Linked DNA regions of Schizosaccharomyces pombe. The protein of the gene in region 1 purifies or fractionates together with the protein of each later gene. This does not show direct contact. Each region holds a gene or a part of one and is shown in the gene's direction. Other genes may lie near its edges.

What was found. Proteins that work in one complex are often made in the same cells at the same time.
Region 2: the proteins of ptr2 (region 1) and tif306 purify together in Schizosaccharomyces pombe (co-purification; one study listed by BioGRID). This does not show direct contact.
Region 3: the proteins of ptr2 (region 1) and tvp23 purify together in Schizosaccharomyces pombe (co-purification; one study listed by BioGRID). This does not show direct contact.

The regions. Positions count from the first base shown.
Region 1 is NC_003423.3:3,403,893-3,410,962, reverse strand, and holds ptr2 (PTR family peptide transporter), read left to right. Parts: upstream 1-2,603; 5' UTR 2,604-3,270; coding exon 3,271-5,127; 3' UTR 5,128-5,388; downstream 5,389-7,070. Other genes in the region: bbl1 (phosphatidate cytidylyltransferase), read right to left, coding at 5,813-6,654, 6,700-6,839, 7,023-7,070. UniProt on the Schizosaccharomyces pombe protein: Uptake of small peptides.
Region 2 is NC_003423.3:3,121,128-3,125,417, reverse strand, and holds tif306 (translation initiation factor eIF3f), read left to right. Parts: upstream 1-1,579; 5' UTR 1,580-1,611; coding exon 1,612-2,520; 3' UTR 2,521-2,768; downstream 2,769-4,290. Other genes in the region: cytoskeletal protein Syp1, read left to right, coding at 1-1,214; alpha-1,3-galactosyltransferase Otg2, read left to right, coding at 3,014-4,132.
Region 3 is NC_003423.3:2,953,908-2,958,798, reverse strand, and holds tvp23 (putative transport protein Tvp23), read left to right. Parts: upstream 1-1,623; 5' UTR 1,624-1,666; coding exon 1,667-1,833; exon of another isoform or gene 1,834-1,894; coding exon 1,895-2,330; 3' UTR 2,331-3,369; downstream 3,370-4,891. Other genes in the region: nus1 (ditrans,polycis-decaprenylcistransferase), read left to right, coding at 369-678, 746-1,212; san1 (RING finger protein), read left to right, coding at 3,758-4,891. UniProt on the Schizosaccharomyces pombe protein: Golgi membrane protein involved in vesicular trafficking.

The DNA.
Region 1 (7,070 bases):
AATAGGAAATACATATGGGTGATATGCAGGTACCCGAATATCAAAGAAGGAAACAGTAACCTATGTTTGAAAGAAGACAATTCGTAAATGAAACCCTTCCTTACTTATCATTAAACTAGCGATACTTGTTGGACTTCATAATGCGCGTCTCTATAGACGTTTGTTACTTTAAAAAATCTATTAGCAGAAGGATCAATTGATAAGACGAGAACGACTTGATGTTAAGTAGGCGCAAAGAAAACAAGCATTATGGACGGCTCAATGAAATAAATAATTAACATGCAAAAAATATAGAAAAATGCAATGTTCAGTTTATAGCACTTAGTAACAAGTGTTGCGAATTTTTTCCAACTAGTAGGTAAACATGCATTGTTAACTCTATGAAAACACTGGAAACATTGGTTCCGTGAAACTTTCGACGGAATCAAAGGGGGAAAAGGTTTTTAACGTGAAAAGTATAGTTCAAATTACATGACGAAGAGGTGTGGTAGATAAGTTTTAGAGAGCGAAAAAAAAAAAAAAAAACCAAAAAACCAAAAAGAGGTCAAATTTTTTTTTTCCTTTTCTCTCCTCTCTCCTTTTCAATTGATAAGGAATGGGCATAGAAACAAAAAGCAATTTGTTTAAAAGTTCATAAATTCAAAGGAGAAACATCTGCCAAAGTAGTATCAACTTGTGCACCGACGACGAGATAGAAAAGTCAAGTCAGAATCAGCAATGCTAGAAGCATAGATATCGATGTGACATTGCATACTCCTTCGTTATTGGGGATTTATTTACTAATGCTATCAAACTCAAGTTTCTTCAAAGTTATCATGAACTTACTATAAGAAATCTGATTCTGTGATAGAAGATATCGTTTGGAATTTAGGGTATACTATCTGTTGCTAATTTGCATACTTTTTGAAGTCTTGTGCCTCGCCTTACACAACCATCTCGTTTGCTTGACGGAGGGTAGGGTATCGCTGCATAACGAGTTGGACCATTTCTTACTAGGCTTTCCCGATACTTTCAGCAATCTTGCAGCATTATGGTTTCATTTGGCAAAATGAGGGAAAATGGGTGCGAAAAATTGCTCATACACCAACAAGTCCGTTTTGGAGTGTGATATGTTCATTTCCGTGACAGTTATACCCACTACTATTAATGCTATCACTATTCTTCCTTTCTTACTTTACTTTACCTTACCTACTTGTTGTCGTCCCTCATCATCTTTGCGACAATTCATGTGGGGGTAGGCGAACTAGTCGCTTTTACTATCTCTGCCACCCACGATGTTTACCGGGTTCGAGGTTCTTAAAGAGAAGACCTTGTTTCCTCGTGCACACACCGTGCTACAGCAGACCACTCACCATTCGCATACATAGTTTTACCTTGGTGAATCGCCAGCGCTAATCGCGGAATACCCGGGGAAGGAAACAAGAGAGAAGAGACACGCGAACGTGGTGTAAAGGCCGATGTCGAGAAGAAGGAATGAATTCAACGGTTAAATAAATAAATAAAAACAACAATGTAACACTCATCAAACGATTACATAAATTTAATAAATATGCAAAGTATTAAGAATCTAACAAATATGTAATTATTATTAATGAGCAAACTACAAGTAAGCAATGAATACAACTCAACCCTCAAACCTCTAAAATTATTGAAAAACTTCGTTCACCTGTATGTCGTCGTGAGAGAATAAGAAACGTAGAGGATGTGTTTGTAAATAACAATATGTATGACAATACATAGACAGTCATCTCTTTTCTACCTTTTCCCTCATCCTCATCCATACTCATATAGTAACACTTATACCTTTTACTCTCACTTTCACATATACTAACTATATTGTCTCACATTCTTTCTATACCTCTCCTCACTCTCATTCTCACTCCTGTAGTGAAACTTCTATTTTTGGCACTATAACGTGCTACTCGTTTTTTCCATATGCTCTGCACGTTGTGCTCTTGACCATTTAATTCCATGCACCCCACTTGGTACCCAATTTCATCCCCACTTTTTCGGTCAAGTACGACTTTCCACTTCAACCATGCGATGTGGTGGCACAAAAGTCCTAAATGGAGGTACACGAGTTTTTTCTATCGTTAAGCAAAAACACGCAACTGAACAAGTGCGCAATCCTTCCGCATGATAGTGGAGTAGATGAAAAAAACGGCATCACACGAAGAAATCCAAGCTTATCTATTTCCAGCGGATTTACCAATTTTCACCCCTTTTTCCAACAGGTCACACGTTGTGCGATATGGTTACTCCTCGTGCATTTTTAATCAAATAGATATTCCGCACTAACGTTTTTGTCCGAAATAACATTTGATTTATCCAATCAACCATCAAACCCACCTTTCACGCATTGACCTTAATTATTAAAAATGTGCAGTCTAGACCGGTCCTCCCTCTTTTTTGATTTATCTGTAGGGAAGATAATAAACTTTTTCATACCACGTTTCCTACATTTACGATTTGTCTATCGCCTATCGTGCTTTGCTCACCGTCATTGATAAAGGCGTGCATGAACACGTGGTGACTGCTAAATCAGTGTGGACAAATTTCATTTTCAGCAGTATTTATACTTGAAAATTATCCCCTCAAAAGACATCCTTCGTCGTGCCGTCTAGTCTGTGTTTTAGAAGTAAGAGAAATTCAAAAACCTTGAGTGGAAACTCCTCATCGTTCGTATAATTAATCGTTTGACCTCTTTTGTTTGGAGTTGTGACTTTCTCCACACTTTCACATACATACACTTTTAATTTCCAAGTATTTATTTAATACATTAAGGAAAAATTTTTTCATTCTAAAAATTTTTCTTTTTTTATTATTATTGTCATAAATACTTATTTGTTGTTGTGTATATTTAATCTTGTTTTAAATACCCTTTCTCACTCTCACTCACTTTCATATTTCTTACTCTTAGTTGAGTTAGTCGGCCTTCGATACACATATAAAAGTGTTTATTTTAACTTTTTTGTGAATTCACTTGTCAATTTTGTGTAATTAGTTTGACTAATTATTATTATTATTATTTTTGATCTATTCTTTTTTTTATCTTTTGTACTACAATTGTTTTTTAATCTTTCGCTTGTTTACGTTATTTTTCTCTTCCTCTTTTTTTTTTTTTAATATTCGCCTCTTTTGTTTTCTCGTTTCATTGTAATTATTTTATACCCAAAAATTGTTCTTGAAACTTCTGTTCATTCTCTTTTTTATTATTATTTTTGATTTTCATACGATCGATTTCCTACATTCAATTTACCTGTGTTTACAATGAGTAGCATTGAAGAACAAATTACGAAATCGGACTCCGATTTCATCATTTCAGAAGATCAATCCTACTTAAGCAAGGAGAAAAAGGCTGATGGTTCTGCCACCATCAACACCGCTGACGAACAATCCTCCACCGATGAACTCCAAAAATCCATGTCCACCGGCGTCCTCGTCAATGGTGACTTATACCCTTCTCCTACCGAAGAAGAATTAGCCACCCTTCCTCGTGTTTGCGGTACTATTCCTTGGAAAGCCTTTATTATCATTATTGTCGAGCTTTGCGAACGTTTCGCTTACTATGGTCTCACTGTTCCCTTTCAAAATTATATGCAATTCGGTCCTAAGGATGCTACTCCAGGTGCCCTTAATTTAGGCGAAAGCGGTGCTGACGGTCTTTCTAATTTCTTCACATTTTGGTGTTATGTCACCCCGGTTGGCGCTGCACTTATTGCTGATCAATTCCTTGGTAGGTACAATACCATTGTTTGCTCTGCTGTCATTTACTTTATTGGTATCTTGATTCTTACATGTACTGCTATTCCTTCTGTCATTGATGCCGGAAAAAGTATGGGTGGGTTTGTCGTCTCTTTGATCATCATTGGTCTTGGAACCGGTGGTATCAAATCCAATGTTTCCCCCTTGATGGCTGAACAGCTTCCAAAAATTCCTCCTTATGTAAAGACCAAGAAAAATGGTAGCAAGGTCATTGTTGACCCCGTCGTCACCACCTCTCGTGCCTATATGATTTTCTACTGGTCAATTAACGTCGGTTCTCTCTCCGTATTAGCCACCACTAGTTTGGAAAGTACTAAAGGTTTTGTTTACGCATACTTGCTTCCCTTGTGCGTCTTTGTTATCCCCTTAATTATTTTGGCTGTTAGTAAGCGCTTTTACAAGCACACTCCTCCCTCCGGTTCCATCTTTGTTCGTGTTGGTCAAGTGTTCTTCCTTGCTGCTCAAAACAAATTTAATCTCGAAAAAACTAAACCATCTTGCACTACTACTGTTGGACGCGTTACGCTCAAGGATCAGTGGGATGACTTGTTTATCGACGAATTGAAACGTGCCTTACGCGCCTGCAAAACTTTTCTCTTTTACCCTATCTATTGGGTATGCTATGGTCAAATGACCAACAACTTAATTTCTCAAGCTGGACAAATGCAAACGGGTAATGTCTCTAACGATCTTTTCCAAGCCTTCGATTCAATCGCCTTGATTATTTTCATTCCCATTTGTGACAATATCATCTATCCATTATTGCGTAAGTATAACATCCCTTTCAAACCCATCCTTCGTATTACTTTAGGGTTTATGTTTGCTACTGCTTCCATGATTTACGCTGCTGTTTTACAAGCAAAGATTTATCAAAGAGGCCCTTGCTATGCAAATTTTACTGATACATGTGTTTCCAATGACATCAGTGTTTGGATCCAAATCCCTGCTTACGTTTTGATTGCTTTCTCTGAAATTTTTGCCAGTATTACTGGTTTAGAATTTGCATTTACCAAGGCCCCTCCTTCAATGAAATCCATTATTACTGCTTTGTTCTTGTTCACCAATGCATTCGGTGCCATTCTATCTATTTGCATTTCTTCTACTGCTGTCAATCCTAAGCTTACTTGGATGTACACTGGTATTGCCGTCACTGCCTTTATTGCTGGTATTATGTTTTGGGTTTGCTTCCACCACTATGATGCTATGGAAGATGAACAAAATCAACTTGAGTTCAAGCGTAATGATGCGTTAACGAAGAAGGACGTTGAAAAGGAAGTTCATGATAGTTATAGCATGGCAGATGAGTCCCAATACAATTTGGAAAAAGCAACTGCTGAAGAGGAAATCATGAAAAGCACATAATACTTAATTTAACTTAATTCGTATTTGCGGGATGCCAATTTTTCTTTTCTTTTTTTTTTTACAAAATTTCCCAAAAAATTGGGGTTTGCATGTTTTGTTTCCATCTTTTTTTTTGTTATGATGCCGTTGTTCTACTGATGCTCCTTATTTAAATGCAGTAGTACTTATCCACTCTCAGAAAATAGAGTTTTACAGTGGGTCTATATACCAGAATTTACTACAGTGTGATTTAATGAAAATATATATTGCTGTGCATAATTTAAAATATTAAAGAAAGTATCAAATATGTTGAAAATAAGAAATTCTTTAGCGGTAAACAAAACTGTATGTGTTGAGACAAGAAACTGTTTTTTAGTAGAACCGACGTGAGATTAGTCCAATAATCAACTTTTCTAAGCGTTTGCGAATTAAGCTAGCTCACTTAACCAACCTGATGACAAAAGTTTTTGATGAAAACTAATTCGGAAAATGTCAAACAAAATTTTTAAGGTGAAAAACTGAAAATTATATAAAGCAAACGAACGACTAGATCTAGTTTGGAGTTGACTAAAAATTAGACATGGGATATCAAAACTTCCAAGCAATAACGAATGACTAACAAACGGAAGTCAAACTATACATGACAACGCATTTAATAATATAAAAGACTGGCTAGTAAACAAATACGAGGATAACAAAGTGTAAGCTATTTTGAGTTTTGAAGAAGTTTGGAACAAATAGCTTGAACACTAGTTTTGCCATGACTGATGAGATAGTTTTGTAAATCTTCAACAAGTTGCACTTGCTGAGTGGTCGTGAGGCTATAAACTGCTGTATCCAATAAATCAGCAACAGATGTACTCTTTTCTGCAATAAATGATTGGAAATACATATAAACGAAGACTCCATTTAAAAACTGGCAATCCATTCTGTCAGTTAAACCACCATGCCCCGGGATGGAAGCTCCAAAATCCTTAATTTTAAAAGCACGCTTAAGACCACTAGCAAAGAATCCTCCGAAAGGGGCAATTAAACTCGAAAAGGTAGCGAAGATAGCCAAATGGAAATATATAGGAGCAAGAGTAATTGTTTCAGGAAGTCTAAAGGTATCGACAAAAACAGCTGGAATAGTATAAGTGTGAGGAAGAAATACAGAATTTGGAGTGCAATTGAGACCACTGAAAGCAGAAGTAGATAAGTCACGAGTGGGACAGATAAAATATTTGAAGTGCATTAAAACATAGCTGATAAGAGAACCAATAACTACAGTACAAATCCATCCTCCTAAAAAACCTTCGACAGTCTTCTTGGGGGAAACTTGAATAAGCGGATGCTTGCCAAACATCTTACCACACAAATACGCGAAAACATCGTTGCATACAACGTAGCAAACAGGGACAAAGAACCAAAATAAACCTTCAAACAGATTGTTAATCATAAAATGGGACTGTCCAACTACTAAGAGTAAAGTCATATGAGTCCAACAGAACTGACTGAACTGAAACTTATAATTGCCTTTTTTCAGGGAAGCGACGAAAAGTACAAAACCTAGCAAAAATTAGTAAACAATTCAAAGACGTTTAATCCACTAACCTATGATGTACAACATAAAGGATATAAACCTATGGTGTAAAACCAATGGAAGCATAAAAGAATCCATAATAAAAAGATGGTGAAAGTAAGCATAGATACTTTCACCATAAGCGTAATACAAGGTTGTCATTAGAAAATACCTAAAAAAAGTTAAAAAACTGCCTTAAAAAACAAAAAGGTAATAAATTTGACGCTAAAAAGAGAAAAACGATTTTGGCTTTTCATTTTCTATTATTTTTTTTTAAAATACTCTACTGATCGCGAACACCAACATCACAGTTAAACACTTTAGAAAAGCTAGTGAACAGTATCATCTCACATACCAGTTAATAAACCTTGTCCACGGAAGATCCTTTTCTCTACTGGGAACG
Region 2 (4,290 bases), 280 kb from region 1:
ATAAACCCAATTCTGTGCACTCTGAAGCCTCAAGAAATACCCCTTCATCGATCGATAGAGAGAATGCATCACATTCGAATCCTATCATGATGCATGGCAATGATTTTGGTGGGAACTTTAACAACATGCAATCACGATCAACAACAACGTCTCCCACATCAGCGGTGGCTTCCCCTGCGCCTACTGAAAACGAGGATAGCAATGCTGCAATTGAAAGGGTAGCAAATACTTTACGAAAGAATCCCACTATATCAAGAAGGACCCGTCGTGCTGGGACAATGGATCGTTATGCTACAGCATCGTCTGACTATATGGAATCAAACCTCGGTAGCTTGCCCAATTTGTCTACTTTATCATTACAATCGGGACCAGACTCGACTGCAACATGGCACCCTGAGTTCCCAAATTCTTCCGGGCTTTCTGCTTCAATCGTCGAAAAGTATTCTGGTGAATTATCTGAAGATGGCCTTCTTCATCCTTCCTGTTCCGGTCATATATTCATGAAATATACCTCGGATTTTAATACCCCTCCTCCTGAAATGGGTGTTCGCGTTGCGTCTGAATTTCCTATGTCTTTTACTCATTTAAATGACCATGCAGTAAAATATGGACCCTCAGAAAACACACTTTCTTTAATACCAGAGCTACTTCTCTCACCAATCAAAGTCACTGATTTTAATCTACATCTTGATAGTATTAACGGTGCTAGTTGCATTCCATTGACAGTTGTTCAGAAATGGAAGCATGATGAAAGCAGTAGTAGTATGATTGCATTTGTGAAGCCTAATCCTGTGTGGAGGAACTTAGGCTCATCTCTTCATATTGAAAAACTTGTTATCATCGTTTACTTGGGGGAAAATGTCCTTGTAAAAAGCTGTCAAAGTTCTCCGGCCGGAGAATTTAGCAGGAAAACTAGTAAACTTAAGCTACATCTTTCGAACATTAATATATCTTCGTCTGGATTTAAAATTTTAGCCAAGTTTGCGATTAGTCCTAGTGCTGCTATTAGAAAGCCAGTTATCGAGTTCCGTATTCGCATGGTTGATTCCTCTAATAACCCTGGTCTCACCAAATTGTTTTTGAAACCAGATATGTTTGATACTACTTCTTCTAGTGGAGGTTCTCAGCTAGAAAGTGCTTATGAAGAAACGAAGGTTCCTACTTCCTATGGTATTCATGTTCGTGAGTGCTCTGTTTTTGCTGATATGAGTTAAATTACTGTTCATTATTAGTCAAGAAAAAGCAAACTGCTTTTTTGGGTTTTATGTTTACACTTTTTTGCTAACCGAATTTTTTGAACATTGTATATATATATAAATGATTTTTAACCAGAGAATGTACAAATGTAAATAGTTATAGAATTTTGAATAAAGAGTTTCTCATTATTGTACGTACAAATGAGACATTGTTAAGGAGATTTTTTAGATTATTCAACGCAACTGAAAATACACTTTCTTAAATGGTAAACCTTAGAAGTTAGGCGAAAAATAGTGTCTTCAATTTAACGAATTCTATGAGACTGTAAACTAGTACAGTAAAATTATTATTGATTGGGGAACAATACCAGATCTACCTACCTGAGAGTAGCCAACAACGTGAAAATTTTAAAAAATGGCTTTGGGGACTAAGCACGTACTCCATCTCACAAAACCGTCTTCCAGGTCAAGTCCTTTGAACATTGTCATTGAACCAGCAGTGCTTTTTTCTATCCTTGACCATTCAACCCGGAAAAGTGAAAATAATCAACGTGTTATCGGTACACTTTTGGGAACACGTTCTGAAGATGGCCGAGAAATTGAGATTAAAAGTTGTTTTGCAGTTCCTCATAATGAGAGCAGTGAGCAGGTAGAAGTTGAAATGGAATATCATCGTGCGATGTACCATTTACACCTCAAGGCTAACCCTCGTGAAGTTGTCGTTGGTTGGTATGCTACTTCTCCTGATTTAGATGCTTTCAGTGCACTGATTCAAAATTTATATGCTTCTCCTGCTGAACCCGGAACTGCTCCACTAGGAACGTATCCTCATCCCTGTGTTCACCTTACTGTCAACACAGATGTTAGCAGTCCCCTTGCCATCAAGACTTACGTTTCTTCACCAGTAGGTATTACAGAGCGCCTTGCTGACAGCTGTGCATTCGTCCCTACCCCTTTTACCATTCGTGATGACGAGGCAGTCCGTTCTGGTTTGAAAGCTGTAGCTGCTCCTAAGAATGACCCATCTAGACTTGCTAGCCTATTCACAGATCTCCAGCAACTTCGAAGATCAACCTTGGAGCTTTTATCTATGATTGAAAGAGTTTCCGATTATGTGCAAAACGTAATTGATGGTTCTTCGCCTGCTAATGTTGCTGTCGGTAGATATTTGATGAAGTGCTTTAGTTTAATTCCTTGCGTAGAAGGCCAAGATTTTGAAAAAATTTTTTCATCACATCTTCAAGATGTTTTGGTTGTAGTTTATCTCGCAAATACCTTACGTACTCAAGTGGATATTGCTTCCCGTCTTAATTTGCTTCCCTAAGCAATTGTTATAACCTAAAAAATCCGGACAATTTCTAACAGTTGTTCGATAGCCCTTTTTTCAAGTCACCGTTATTTTATCCTTTTTTCACACTGGCTGTTAACCCTCAGTGGAAGCAACTGTCTTTATCTCGTCATTCACCCATTTCGACATAGTTTGAGTAGCTTAGCTTGTCGGTAACTATTTAGTATTATACTATAATTGGTTTAGGTTAAACGTCTTATTAAATAAGAGAAAATTTTAAGTCAGAGTCATGTATCTTAACATTTCTTATAGTTAAAATAGTAAGCTTGTTTAATTTTTAAACATTTGATGTTTTTACGTTATAAAGTCGATTTAATTATGTTATTTGTTTTTCAGGGTGTTGAGTTTGTTTTGGTATTGAAAGTAAGCAAAATGTGTATGATGCACCAACAAACATTAAGGGAGTATGTAGAGTAATTCTCTCCGAAAGCACCACCATTTTATAATTTGGCAATCAATTGCCATTAAAATGCGTTTATATTTTAGTGCTTTTCGCCATCCCAAACGACTAGGACTGTGTTTACTGATTACCTTGAGCATTATTTTATTAGGTTGGCAATGTGTTTTGCTATACAATCATAGTCCAGAAATACAAAGGTCAGTTTACACACTGACAGGGTTGGCGCCCTCTTCTAAGATGGCATTTGTAACTATGCTTACTGTACGCGCCGCTAATGGGGAAAACGAAGTAGAAAATACGCAACAGGATTGGTATTATAATTCAACTAGGCTTCTCGTTCACCGACTTGTCAAATTTAAACCTACGAAAAGCAAGTATCCCGTTGTAGTGCTAGCCATGAAGGGAATTGATCAGTGGAAGCTTGATCAATTGCAGGAAGACGGAGCTATTGTTAAAGTAGTCGATCCACTATATGCTCATGAAGTGGTTGACGATGTCAATGACATTGCCCTACTGGATTCCCGATGGAGTATGATGTTTACCAAGTTGAGAGTTTTCGAAATGTACGAATATGATAGAATATGTTTTCTTGATAGTGATATTTTGCCTATTAAAAAAATGGACAAAGTTTTTGATGTTCACCAACTCTCCTATAGTAAGGATTCTGTTCTGTTTCCTCCCACCCTATTCTACAAGCCTAGGCGCAGCATTTTTTGGAGACGCTTTACAGAAGAGTTTGCAGCTTACGGGCTGACAAGAGACGATCTTTATCCCTACGTTTTCGCTGCTGTGTCCGATCCAGGTATGTGGCATGAAACTCCTCCTCCTTTTAAAGATTATTTTAATGCTGGTCTATTCGTCTTTAAGCCATTGAAGGCACATTATAAAAGGTTAATGGCATTAGCAAGGTTTCCAAAATTGTATGATAATGCAAACATGATGGAGCAAAGTTTGCTAAATTTTGCATACAATTCAGCAGGTGCTTTTCCATGGGAGTCACTTGATTGGACTTTTAACGGACTTTGGGCTAGAAAAAATGACTTACCATATCTAAAAGCAGTTCATGGAAAACATTGGCAACCAGAAGGAAGTCTAGGTTATGATGAAGACACATCCAAGCTATGGTGGGATGCGTTTCAAGAAATGCAAACGTATCATGACCAACAACGTAATGCTGATTTATATTAAACAGATGAAAGCAATTTTCATGTCGTGATCAAGTAAAAAATAAGGCGGCTTTTGACTTTTAAGAAGCAGTTATTTTCATTTAATGTATTGCTGACAACACGTACTGTTGAAAGGCTATCTCATTTTTACAGTCATTCTAAAATAATTTGTGTTTCCTC
Region 3 (4,891 bases), 450 kb from region 1:
AAGGTATTGATTCCATACGGCTAGACACTGTATATCATTTGTACGAATTATCTAGAGTTAACTTTAAAAAATACCCTATAACAAAAAAAGATAAAACTTCGATACATCGATTTTTTCAGAAAGAGCAGCTTTCATTGTTCGTGTTGGTATCACAAAGTACCTCAGCACACCACCCAACATTGCAGCCTGCAGTTCATAAACATCGCCAGTTGTCTTCTCATAGCTGTAAATTGTTCCTAGGAAGTTTCAAACTTAAAAAGTTTGTTTGTTCATATTTAAAATCCAATTTATACCCCTAAATATAAAAAAACTACAGAGTTCAACCTAAATTAAATAGGTTCGAATTCTGACAACCAGTGTTCACAAACATGTATGATGATATTTTCTTTTATTTAGCTTTATGGGTTATACAAAGCGTTTATGGTGCCTGGGATTGGGCAAAAAATTGGGTTTTTTGGACATGCAGTTATTTACTGAATTTTTTGTATCATCACCATTGTAGTAGAGATCTTATAAGACGCGATACGAAAAAATTAAAGAAGAAACCAAAACACATCGCCGTTATTATTGAGTGTGTAGAAGATGGAGGTATAGAGGGCCTTATTCATGATGCTTGTGAATTATCTGCTTGGTGTGTTTGTTCTAATATTCGCGAACTTACGATTTATGAACGTAAAGGTATATAATTGCAGTTGAAGTTTTGAAATTCCATTACTATTTGATTACATTTATTAACAGATTTTAGGGTTTTTAAAGCAATCTCCCGAAGCTGTTGAAAAAGCTATTTACTCTCACCTGCCATTCTATCTTGGAGGTGACAAGTGTACCGTCCATGTAACTAATCCTTGCTCTCCTGATGAAAAAAATCAAAATGACTGTGTCGATTTAAAGGTTCATCTTATAGCGAAAGAAGATGGTCGAGATGCTATCATCGATTTAACTAGAGGTTTAGCGGATTTATGTACTAAAAAAGTTATCAGTAGCACCCAAGTTACACTGGAATTGATTGATAAAGAATTGAAGGAGAGCGTAATACCTGAACCAGACTTACTAATCATATTTGCTCCTCTGCTTAAGTTGCAAGGATTTCCACCTTGGCAGCTTAGATTATGTGAAATATTTCATGATCCTATTTTATATACAACAAATTACCTAACATTCTTTAAAGCACTTGTTCATTACTCGAATGCAGAAATGCGGTTAGGGCACTGAGGTTTTATAAATTTAAATATGAAAAGCCAAAAGCTACCAAAAATTTATCAAGTTGTCTTCTTGAGGTTTTTGTTACTTCTTGTCTAAAATGCTTTTTGGATTTTGTTAATAAAATTAGGAATTCAGTATTACAGAAAAATTTAATTTACTTCAAATGCTTAGATGATAGGCATTAACAAAATTAAACAGACAGGCAGTCAGATTCATACTTTGGATATTATATGCATTACAGTTTTAAAAAAATTTAATAAACATTTTCGTTAGAAGAATATTATAAAACTTAAATTAACAACTAAACATTCACTTTCGAATACGATCTTTTAGAAAACCAGGCTTGCTACACAATAAGAATCTTCGTTAAGGTTCCTTATTCGCATACTGTCAAACCCCTGCTGAGATGTTCACCTCTTTGGATCGAAACCTTTACGTTGATAACCATATCACGTTGACGAAAATGGACTATCAAAATACGGAGACAATTGCCGAGCAGGAAAGGAATGCTAGTAGGCTACCGCAGATGTTTCAAATGTCTTCGCATCCTGTAGCTCTTTTCTTCTTTCTTTTATTTCGTACCGGTGCAATTGTGGCATACATATTGGGCATGTTCTTTACCTCAAGTTTGTAAGTTTTTAATAGCAGAAATTTAAAAGAAAAAGAAATTGAGCTAAACAAATAAAAATAGTATGTTGTTGTTTATTGTAATTTTCACTTTGCTAGCTGTTGATCTTTGGACTGTTAAAAACGTCTCTGGTCGTTTACTAGTTGGTTTGAGATGGAGAAATGAAACTGGAGTTGATGGTGAAAGCATTTGGATTTTCGAATCGGCAGATCCCAGTCGTCCCAGAAACGCCGTTGATCAGAAGACGTTTTGGTACGCTCTCTATCTATATCCATTTATTTGGATCATATTGGGGATTGTAGCTATAATTCGATTTGAATTTCTCTGGCTTGCACTCGTTGCTGTCGCAATTGGACTGACAAGTGTTAACACCGCTGCTTACAGTCGTTGTGACAAAGACGCGAAGCGTCGTTGGGCTACAGAACTTGCAGATTCCAATTCTTCTGGATTTGTTTCCAGATTTTTATCTAGGGCTTTTATCAAGAGATTTATTGGTTAAAGCTCTTTCAAATTCTGTAAATAATTTTTCGAACTACATTGCATTTTAAGCTCATTGTATATGAAAAAGCTAATTTCATGGGATTCTGGCTTAACGATTTGCTTGTTAATTAAATTGACGAAAGCGCTGGAACGATATTGTGTTTTTACTTCCCAACTTTGAAATGACAGAGCGTCAATTTGAATCCTTAAGCATCAACTGATTACGTATTTTTATAATACAAAAGCCAAAAGACTGTATGACGGATCCTGTATTTTAGTATGAGTTTATATAACCTCCCATACTGTTACTTTCAAGCATATATCTTCTTTTCTGATTGAATATTTGAATAGAGCCCAATGGTTATTTTTAGGTGCACATTACGTTCTTTTATTCATACATTCTTTTATGGTTAATACTATCACACAAAGTTTCATGAAGGCCAACTGAGATCTTTTGAAACCCACTACATTTATTTTTCCATTGATAACATTCTTAGTTAGACTTCAAATATTTACGCATGGAGTGCTTAATAAGATACCGATGAACGAAACTTCAAAGTTTGGTGCTACTTTTTATTTCGACAACTATGTTCCTGCGTGTGTTTGCTGTGAACTTAAAATTTAATACTTTCTTATTAGTGATGAACATATATTGAAACGAAGTTCTTATAACAGCATAATAAAAGCGGAAAGAATATGTAATTGTTAGTTTCTAATATACATATTTTAAATGGCAAAATATGTATTTAGATGATTCCTTTACTAAAGAGCATATCATTTTTTTAGTACATATATAAAGCATTAGCTTAAATGTCAATTATAAATTCAAGGATATGCGGTTTCTTACACGATTCGCAGAATTTCGGTTTTCATATGCTTTATGTCAACAAACCTCCCAACTATCAAATAAGGAGAACCTTTTATAACTCCTTAAAAATATTAAGGTATTGAATGTCCTAATGAACGCCCACATGTTCACTGTCTCTATTGGCAATATATAATGGAAGTCCCTGGTTTTCTATTTTGTTCAACACCACATTTTGCACCTTAAAAGATAGTTTAAGTGGAAAGGTGCACTTTATAACATTCTATAACGTCTTTTATTTTCTATTTACTTTTTTTTTTGCTTGCCTAAATAAATATTGAAATATTCAGTGGCCAGAAAACCCCGATGGAGAATGTTACATTTTCCTTACCATTAAATTTTTGATTCCTGTTTTTTTATTACCGCAGCAATCATATTTTACCATATTCCTCCTTTGTATATAATAAGTCTCCTACAAATATTTCCTTTGTCTTATTTGTTGTTTTTATTTTGAGTACTGCTTTATTTATTTAGATTCGACTTTATTGTGGTCGTTTTATTTCTTTTTTTTGGTTTTATTATTAGACCACTGAGGTACTAGTTTTTTGTATAGAATCTCCTGTTACAATTATCTGTTTTAAATGGATTCCAATACAAATGAGAATAATTCTCATGCATCATCAAACGAGAGACAATCATCTGAAGGGCATGATGACTATTTGAATCGTAATCCAAACAGTGAAGCAACTGAGGGTGAAGAAGGTACCCACCCTACCACGGGGACTCAACCAGTTGCTTTTTCAATTGGTACAATGTTTATCATAACTCCTCAAGCCAATTTCGAGGGTGGAGAAAATGATCCGTTTGCCAATCCCTTTCAACCACCCGTAAAACGCGCTGTAAAAGAAGCCTGGGATTCTTTCGAACCTTTGTCTAATGACCAACTGATGGATTTGACTTGTCCGATCTGTTACGATGATATGAATGAAAATGATGAAAAGCAGGCTACCAAGATGCCATGTGGCCACATATTCGGTAAAAATTGTTTACAAAAATGGCTTGAAAATCATTGTACATGTCCTCTTTGTAGAAAAGAGGTTCCCCACGAAACAGTAGGTTCAGCTCATCCTCCTATTTTATTTATCATTCCACACTCACATACGCTTCGTGGCAACCAAGGCAACACCGCGGTTTCTCAAGAAAATGCATCAAATGGTGTTCATTCCGACTTTCATCCATCTGAGGAGCTTAACAATGCAAACACTGATGGTCGAACCGGCGTAGACGAACCAGCTCGGCAACTGCATCGCATTGCTTTTAACCGAATACGTTTTATTCTAGCTCCAAATCGATCTGCCACCAATACCCCTGTTGAAAATACTCACCCTGAAAACCCTGACTCAAACACCTCAACACCTACTACTCGTAGTGAGCCCTTAGCAGGAGAAGGTGCCTCTATTGATGCCGAAAATGCTAGCTCTAGACAAGAGACTACTCCTTCGGATTCTCGTCCTTCGACGCTTACGTCCTTATTTAATGCTTTCTTTTCATCTATGCCTGATCGCCCTTCCTCTAATGAACCTATGACTTCGAATCTTACCTCTAATTCTGGTAGTATGACGAATAGTACTTCCACAGACTTGCCAACTAGTAACTTGCCCTCTCAAAATGCTCCAGCTAGACCAGTTGAGCCGTCACCTTCAATACAGCCTCCCAATTTGCTAAATCTTCCAACGGCTTCGCCTGAATCAACTTCATGGCTTCCTGGAAGCCAA